Linked DNA regions of Sus scrofa. The protein of the gene in region 1 binds, or shares a complex with, the protein of each later gene. Links are inferred from orthologs where the notes say so. Each region holds a gene or a part of one and is shown on either strand. Other genes may lie near its edges. The genes, in order: CAST and CAPNS1.

Region 1 (4,349 bases):
CTGCCGCTGGACTAAGAAACACCTTTAATTAACATGGCCTAATAAAGTCAGCTTATGACTCAGCAGTGTGATTACTGTATGTCAGCCAACCAGATTTACTCTTCTTCATACTTCTTCATTGTGAAGCTCATCATATGCTCTTCAAATCTAGCTTTGTAAAGTTTTGTTTTAAAATTTTTACCAAAGCAACTTAATTCATCAAAAGATAAGATCAATATATTGATGGTATGCAGTGGGGGGAAATAGACATTGTAATGTTTTACTGACTGGCTTTACAGGTGGCAGTCCCTTAAACAAAACACATCATAGATACATCTTTTAATTATTTTATCATATTCTGCCTAATTTTTTTTTTTTTAATTTTCAGGGCCACACGCCCATAGCACATGGAAGTTCCCAGACTAAGGGTCAAATCAAAGCTGTAGCCACAGTCACAGCAATGTGGATCTGAGCCACGTTTGCAACCTACACTGCAGCTCACAGCAATGCCAGATCCTTAACCCACTCAGCGGGGCCAGGGATCGAACCTGTGTTCTCATGGATACTAGTCAGATTCGGTACCACTCAGCCACAATGGGAACTCCTTATTCTACCTAAATTTTGAAAGCTATGTCAATCACAATCTTTGTCAGTATTTAAAGGGTTCCAGTAAAGATATTTTAATTATAGGATTTACCAAAACTATTATATATATTATACATATATATATAAATACATACATCTTTTATATATTGTATTTTTGTATAAAATTTTTGTGTAAATAAATTGCATAAATCTTATATATAATAGTATATAAAAACATAAATATCATGTATGTGTGTGTGTTATAAATTGTCTCCATAGATCTTCAGCGGATTTATGGATGGGCTTTTATGTGTGTATGTGTGTACTTTGTTGTGGAAAAATGGTTCACAAATTTCATTTAATTCTAAAAATGTTCTCTGATCATGCCTTCATAGCCACCTAGCAAAACCAGTTAGAAACCCACGTCTAAAACTATACTGGTCAATACCCGATCTATTAGCCACTCATGCCTATTGCTCACTTGAAATACATCAAGTATGAATTGAGATGAGCTCTAAGTATAAAATACATGCTGGATTTTTAAGAATTAATATGACAAAGAAGATGTATAATATCTCAATGATTTGCACATTGATTGTTGAAATAACAATGGTTGGGAAATAGAGGGTTAAATAAAATGTTATTAGCATTTACTTCACCTGTTTCTTTTTGCTTTTGTTTATGTGACTACTAGAAAATTTAAAATTACATATATGGCTCACACTATATTTCTACTGGACAGCACTAGTTTGGGCAAAGTCAAAGCTTGATCATAGGCAGTTTGCTGATTCAGGAGGTTCCTACTAGCAAAAAAAAAAAAAAAAAAAAAAAAAAATTCTAATAGTTCCAGAATTATATTACAAGAGAAGTTTTTAGCTAAAATGTCAAACTATGCCTAAACATAACAAGGTTAAAAGCATAGATTTAAACAATCTTCATCCAGATATTCCAGCATAATTTCCTTTAAAGAATCATGAATTTGAAAGAAGACTGATGTCAGCCCTGAACCACTGCCATCCATATTTGCAGGTAATTCAAGTTGGGCATTTTTGATAAGAACCTTAGGACAATAATGACGCAAAGCAAACATTTGCTTTTAGAACATCAATAAGATGAAACATTTTAAAAACCCAGAAAGTGTAATGGGAAGCATTCATGAAGAAACATCTTAGGGGAAACAGGAATTCCCAATCATTAAAGGCATATAAGCATGGTAATTTGATTCATGAATCTACTCTTCACCAACTCTTATGTGGTACTTATTACCACCCCAATTTTATAGATGTGGAAACAGTTTCAAAAAGGTTGACCCATTGCCCTGTGAGAACAAGAATTCTGTCTGGTTTTCCACTGTGTACTTCAAGACTAGTACTGGGTCTGGCATACATTAGATACTCAGTGAACACCCATTGGCTGAAAAGGGACAGTTTACAGATTCCAACACAAGATTTCTCTCTAAAGAGTATCTGATAACAACATCCTAGCACATGCTGAGAGGACTCATTTTAAATTTTTCACCATATATCAATGGGATATAACTATTTTTATTCTGTTTACAAAACTTTTGTGTATTTTTTGGGGGGGGGGCATTGTAACATTAAGTCACACTTCCTGATTCAAAGCCTTACAAGCACCAGCTTGACTGGCTATCACACCTAATTGTCTGGAAAGGCATTCAATGCATTAAACAAATGAAACATCTAGGTCCCTCATCCAAAGTAATAAAACACAGAGCAGAGGCTGCTCTCTCATTCTAAACATCGGTCTTGATGTCAGTTTCTTCTGCTCCTTGGAGTTTTGGATTTTCTACTTGCCCTCATTCCAGCTGCCTCTCCTCCTTTGCAGTGGAGAATGTACGTCCAACAAGCCTCTAAAAGTTTTGAGCTTTACTTATGCCTTAAAAACAAACACTAAATCTGAGCTCTCTTGAGTCCAGTAGGAGTTCATTCAGGAATCCGTGTCCAAGGGCTGAATTCCTCCAGCAACAATTCCTGTTCCATTCAACTTGGGAGCGTGAGCACAGCCTGGTGCTTTTGCTCACACCAACGACTTGCACGTCTGAGCTAGCTTGCACATACCACAGCAGGGTGCGTCTCACCCTCTCCAGGAGCCTAACCTGAAGGTCTGAGAGGAGGTCACAACTGGTCCCCACCCCTTCCTCACCAAACCCTGGACAATAAACTGGCCTGCACGCCCAGAAAGCACATTCCCTTCCCGGTCCTGCCCAGGCACGATCACTCCTATTTACCGTCTTGTACCACCAGCTTGCGAATGCCATGGCGACAACCAATTTGCTCTGAGTCGCGCAGAGTAGAACCCGGAGAGGACGCGAGAACACGGGATGCAGCGCAGAAGGGGTTTGGCTCACACTCCTCCAGCCCTGGACCTGGTTGGTCCTGAGTTCTGTAAGCCCCACTGCTGCCAGGGAGGAAGGCATCTGGGCGGGGCCGAGGTAGGGCCCCACCCCCACTGGGTTGAGCCGGCCCCGCCCCGCCCCGCCCCACCCCGATTTGGCTCTAGGCCGGTTAGGGAAGAAGTGTTATTTCTCCAGGCAGCCACGCCCTGCAGTCCTGACTTTTATCACTTTACGAAAAAGACCCCCACTCTCTGGGGGTCCAGATGAACTTTATTCCCCTTTTATCCTCATCTGCTTTTTACCCCAGTCTCAGCAACCAACTTTTCCCCAAGTGGGCCACCTTCAATCTGGTTTATGCCACGCCCTATGCGCTTGGCCGAGGCCCGGCAACCCCTGGCCACCTCCAACCACCTGCCCAGAGGCTGGTACAGAGTCTCGCATCCTTCTCCGGCCCAGGAGGGGGCCCATGGGGCATCTGGCCCTGGCAGGCTACCCCAAAGGAAGTAGCGCATGGCTCCGGGGGCCTGGGGCCGAGGTCCTCCCAGCGCCCAGCCCTGTGGCTCTGGCAGGAGTGCCACTCACCTCCTGGGTGTGGCGGGCCGCAGCAGCTCGCCGGGGACGTGGGGAGGCTGCGGGCTTCTGGCCCGGCTGGGACATGGTAAGGCCTTGGAGAGCGCTGCCTCCGGGAGGGCACAGCGGAGACTGGAAGGGAGAGGGAGGCCCGGGGCGGGAACGCTAGGAGGGAGGGAGGGAGCGGAGGGCCCAGCGGGCGCGCCCGTGAGGCAGCTTTTCCGACCCAGCCCCGAACCCTGCGTGGGGGCTCCCCCTCTCCTGGCTGGGCCCTCCCCTTCCTGCCAGCCACTGGCTGAGCCTGGGCTGCAGCGGCCCAGGGCTCCCGCCCGCAGCTTAACACTCTCAGCCTGTACCTCTACCCAGTGTTGCCCCCTCTCCCCAACACCCCAGGTCGGCTGAGATCCCCAAGAAAGGAGGAGCTGGAGGTCTCGGGGTTCCTCCTTCGACTTGCCCAGACTTGGCTTAAGATTGTGCAATGTGAGAGCGGGACCGGGCGTGGCCTGTCTATGCCTCCAACCTCCTGCCTAAGAATCTCAAGAATTAGACACCTTTTCTGCTATAGGAGAAGAATTTACCAACTGAAGTATGGCCCAAGCCTGGACCTTCTGGATCAAAAAGCATATTACAAAAACAAACTGGTGCGTGTGTGTGTGATTTAACTTGGCAGGGGTGTGTGTGTGTGTGTGTGTGTGTGTGTGTGTGTGTGCAGTTTTGAAAGTTTAATGATGTTTTACAGGGAGGAAGCTGTAGGTTCTAAACCAAAATAAAGAACATTCCCAAACTTAACCCCCTATACTGCCTTTTTCTGGAGGCTGGCAAATTTTGTTTCTGATGCTAGGTTACTTTTGTCTTAGGC
Region 2 (4,280 bases), on another chromosome or scaffold:
GCAGCCCTAAACAGCAAAAAAAAAAAGGAAGGAAGGAAATCCCATCTTCACCAAGGCCTCCCCAAGACTGCCCTCAAGGATACATCCATCACAGCCACCATGCTTCGACATGTGTCAATGCCAAAACCATCAGTCTTCAGATCAGGGTCTGTGGGGAACAGGTTGAAAATCAGAGGTCAGAGATCACAGCTGCCCCAGCCACCATGCCCCTAAGCCTGCCCCATGTGTTGACGCCGGACACTCACGTCGGGTCACGACCTTGTTGAGAATGTTCATGAGTTCCGTGGCACTGACCTCCATGTCCTGAGGGGAAAAGTTAGGAATGGGTCGGGGTGACTGGAAGGGGTCTGTGCGTGTCATGAGGGAGGATGGGAACTTGAGGATTGTACACGTAAAGGGCAGCCCAAGGGAAGGCACCGGAGGATTCCGACAGGTCTGGGGACCCCAGGTTACTTACATCTCCAGCCAGCTGGGCAAAGAGCCTCCGAAACTGCCGGACCTCCTCACTCTCATTGGCCTCAATGTTGGAATAATGGGTGCGAGGGGGCTGCAGAAGGAGGAGATCTCAGAGCAGGAAGGGAGAGGGGTGTCCTGGCCAGGACAGCCCTAAATGGGAAAGTCAGAGTGGGCTGGGAGGTTGAGTGACCAGAGAATGAGAGGTGGCCAGTGATTAGGGAGCGGATACCACTAAGTTTGGGGACATGACAAGGGGGAGACTTCATGAGATAAATTTCATAAGGAGAGGTGTGGGGCTTTTTTCAGAGGGACAAGGACGGGTGCTGGAAAAGGCCTCCGAATGAGAAGGGGTCTCCGACTGCGAAGGGCGGCTTGAGTGCGAAGGGCGGCTTACCGGGGGCTCGGGGTTGTACTGCGCAGCCGCCTCACTGAAGGGAAACGGGAGAAGTTAGTGTAGAGCCAGGGGGCGGGGCCTCCAACTGGCAGCTCCAGCCCCACGACCCAGCCCACCAAGCCCCACCGCGTAGCCTGCCAGCCTACCTACCAGCTCCCTCCGCCTGCCTCATCAGTCTTTGCCCTCACCTGTCCCTATCCTTGCTGCCCTGGTTGTGCCCCCTACACAGTGGCGGATCTCTCAAAAGACAAAGCCCCTTCGAGGGCATACTTCCTAGAAGCCCGGCCCCAGCTTTCCCAGGGCCCACCTTCCTCAGGTCTCACCTGTCTAGGAACCTACTCCATCTCCACGGCTTCTGAACACTTGCGTCCTCCCAAGATCCCACCCCAGCTCCGTGAGTTCTCACTCCTTCAAGGGATCACATTCAGGGGCCAAAACTAACTAGGCCCCTACCGACCACCCGCCCTACCTCCCTCAGGACATTTTTCTATTTTAATCCAGCCAGTTCCTGGCCAGGCCCTGTCCCTTCAAGTCCTTTTCCCCTATCCCATTAAGCCTGGCCTTCTTCTGGGCACACCCCTGAACGCACCTACGAGGGCTATGCCGCGCCCCTAGGTAAGCTTTGCCCCAGTGAAGTGACACCCGGCTTCAGTAGCTCCGCCCCCTTAACGTTAGTCTCCAGGTTAGCGGAAGGAGGCTGCACCTGGCCATTAAGCCCCACCTGGCCCATCAAATTGTGTCTCCCACCACAGTCAAAACTACTCCCATATCAAGTCCCGCTCCCTGAACTCAATACAGTCGGCCTCCTCAAGGCCGGTCTGCTGGCCCAGACCAGCCCCAGCCTAATTAATGTTCCGGGTCCGGGTCTAAGTTACCCCATTCTATTCTTGCGGGACCAGCCTCCTCCTCCAGGCCCCGCCCCTCTGCAGGCCCCGCCTTACCTGATGGCGCTAATAACCCCGCCCAGGATGCGCATGGCAGTTCCGCCACCACCGCCGCCGCCTCCTCCGCCACCGCCGCCGCCACCGCCGCCTCCGGCCCCGCTGATCAGGCCTCCGAGCACATTCCCTAGGCCCCCGCCCAAGCCCCCGCCTCCCCCGCCGCCGCCGCCGCCACCCTTCAGGAACGAGTTAACCAGGAACATGGCTGTGACTCAAGATTCCTGAGGGGGAGAAAAAAGGAGTCAAGTTGCTGTCCCGTCCCTAAGCCCGCCCCTTCCCCCCCAAATACACGCATTTCTGGCTGCTGGACTGGGGGAAGTAATAAGAAGCCTCTGACTGGGGCTCGAGGGTTCATTCAGGATAGGGCCTGGGCTTCTGGGGGAGGGTGTCTCGGATGGGTGGCATAAAGTCGGATTATCTGGTTTGAAACCTCTTCCCGGTCCAAAGAGTCCATATCTGGCTCGAAGGACCCTGGACTGAGTATACGCATAGGCATCATTAAGCACCAGACACCAGCCAAGTCAAGTGGGGTTCTCGAGATGGGGGCCCCAAGCAGGCGCTCTAATCTGGGATTCAGAGCCCCAAAACTGATGTAGAGGTCTGGGGCGGATCAGGGCGTGGATCAGAAATTCTCTGCCTGGAGGCCCCAGGGCCAGGATTTAGGGAAGCCAGAATGTAAGCTTGCGGGTTTAGGTACAAACAGCAGCGAGATAACAGTGTCATTGCTGGGTCTGTGGGTTCGGGTCTAAGACTGTGGGTGTGAGCCCCGGGGTCCGAGATAACGGAGTCCCCATTAGAACTGAGATCGGATCTAGGATCGCGATTCTGGAGGCCGCACCCAGAGCTGAATTTACCGGCTACCTCTCAAATCCATGCTCCTACTTCAGAACCTGAGAGGGAGGGTGGAAGAGTCTCCGGGGCGGGATAACTGGGGCCAGACAGATCTAGGGGTTTGAACATGGGTCTAGGGGACTCCTGAGACCAAAATTGTAGGATCTCTATGGTTTTGGAGGCCGCCAGGGCCGGGCTTAGGGAGACCAGGGGGGAAGTCCGGACTGGGCGCTCACCGCCTCGTTCACGCGTCCGCGGGTCCGCTTCTCTGTGCAGCTCCTGGGCCTCCGGCTGCGTCCGGCTCCGCAGGGCGGGGCGGGTGACTCAGGCGGCCCGGGCAGGGTTAGGCTATGCAGGGCGGCCCGGACGGATTCCGCGCGGTCCTAGAGCCGGTATTAAAACTGCGCAGGCGCCTGCTGGCCCCGCCCAGTGTAACAGGGTGCGGCTGCTGAGAATTCGCTGTGCGTTTCCTGAGCCGCAGTTCTGACGCCGCCCGGAGTTCATAGACTGGAAATCTTTCTCTACGCCTTTCGGTCCCCAATGCAGGCACTCGGGGACCAGGACTCCGAGGTGACCCGAACAGTCGCCAAGCCTAAATGTTGTAGTGTGAATTGTCGTCCCAAAGCCAAGCCTCCAGATGTTTTTGGTCTGCTCGGATAGGGATTCTTGGGACTCTTGGCACTTGTACCCTATCCTAGCCTTGTCGCGACAGACAGCGTCTGGAGACCCCGGATTTTGTTTTGCTCACAGTCTGAGGACAAGCGCCCTCATCTGTGTGGGGGGACCCTGCAGGCACAGCCCTGATGGCAGCCCAGTTACTCCCAGGAATGGGACTTCTTTGTTCCTCCACCTGCACCCCTTTACCCCCTGGGTCAGGGTCACCAGAATCATTTTACTTGGATGGACCAAAAAAAATCATTTTACCTGGTCTCAGTCTTCCAGTCTCTAAAGAGGGTCCAGACACTGGAAGAGGCTGGGGGCCACAGCCTGGTTTCTGAAGCTTGATGTTCCCAAGGTCAGGTGGTGGGCAGGGTGGGGAATGCAACTGAAAGGAAAAATGGCAACTGAAGCAACCCTTGGAGCCCTTTTGCTTGCTCTCTAGTTGCAACCTTCAACCTGTGAGCGCCCAGTACTCTTTCAAGGCTCCTTCAGGCACACTGGCTGGCTGTCCAGCCCTTAGCCTCTTCCTGGGAAGCTGGTTCAGCTGGAGTTTGAATCCTGACTTTGCCTCTTAATAATTTGGGGTCCCATAACAGTGATTTAAACAATGATTTTCTAATCTGTAAAATGCCAACAAGGGTTTCCATGTCCCCACTTCTAGGCCTCTACGAGAATTTTGTGGTAAATGTTTAGTAAACAGTAGCTGTTGGAGTTCCTCTTGTGGCTCAGTGGGTTAAGAACTCAACTAGCATCCATGAGGATGCGGGTTAGATCCCTGGCCTTGCTCAGTGGGTTAAGGATCTGGTGTTGCTGCAAGCTGTGGCATAGGTCATGGATGTGGCTCAGATCTGGGGTTGCTGTGGCCGTGGCGTAGGCCCGGAAACTTTCATATGCCATGGGCGCAGCCCTAAAAAGACAAAAAAAAAAAAAAAAAAGAAGAAGAAGAAGAAGCTGTTAGCCTCTGTGTCTGTACCTGTGGTGTTCCCTCCTCCTGGAGG

Evidence for each region.
Region 2: the proteins of CAST (region 1) and CAPNS1 are in contact, whole or in part, in a crystal structure (PDB 3BOW), measured with the Rattus norvegicus proteins. The link is inferred for Sus scrofa from reciprocal best matches to the Homo sapiens genes CAST and CAPNS1. Residues at the interface, in NP_445747.2 of Rattus norvegicus: Pro652, Ile653, Asp654, Ala655, Leu656, Ser657, Asp659, Leu660, Asp661; in NP_058814.1 of Rattus norvegicus: Phe103, Leu106, Gln109, Leu110, Ile125, Lys128, Val129, Arg132, His133, Leu136, Phe166, Trp170, Lys174, Gln177, Lys181.

What each region holds. Positions count from the first base shown.
Region 1 is NC_010444.4:103,255,146-103,259,494, reverse strand, and holds the start of CAST (calpastatin), read right to left. Parts: upstream 2,843-4,349; coding exon 2,813-2,842; intron 1-2,812.
Region 2 is NC_010448.4:45,510,037-45,514,316, reverse strand, and holds the start of CAPNS1 (calpain small subunit 1), read right to left. Parts: upstream 2,908-4,280; 5' UTR 2,859-2,907; intron 2,013-2,858; 5' UTR 1,995-2,012; coding exon 1,792-1,994; intron 885-1,791; coding exon 851-884; intron 548-850; coding exon 458-547; intron 304-457; coding exon 246-303; intron 149-245; coding exon 84-148; intron 1-83. UniProt on the Homo sapiens protein: Regulatory subunit of the calcium-regulated non-lysosomal thiol-protease which catalyzes limited proteolysis of substrates involved in cytoskeletal remodeling and signal transduction. Essential for embryonic development.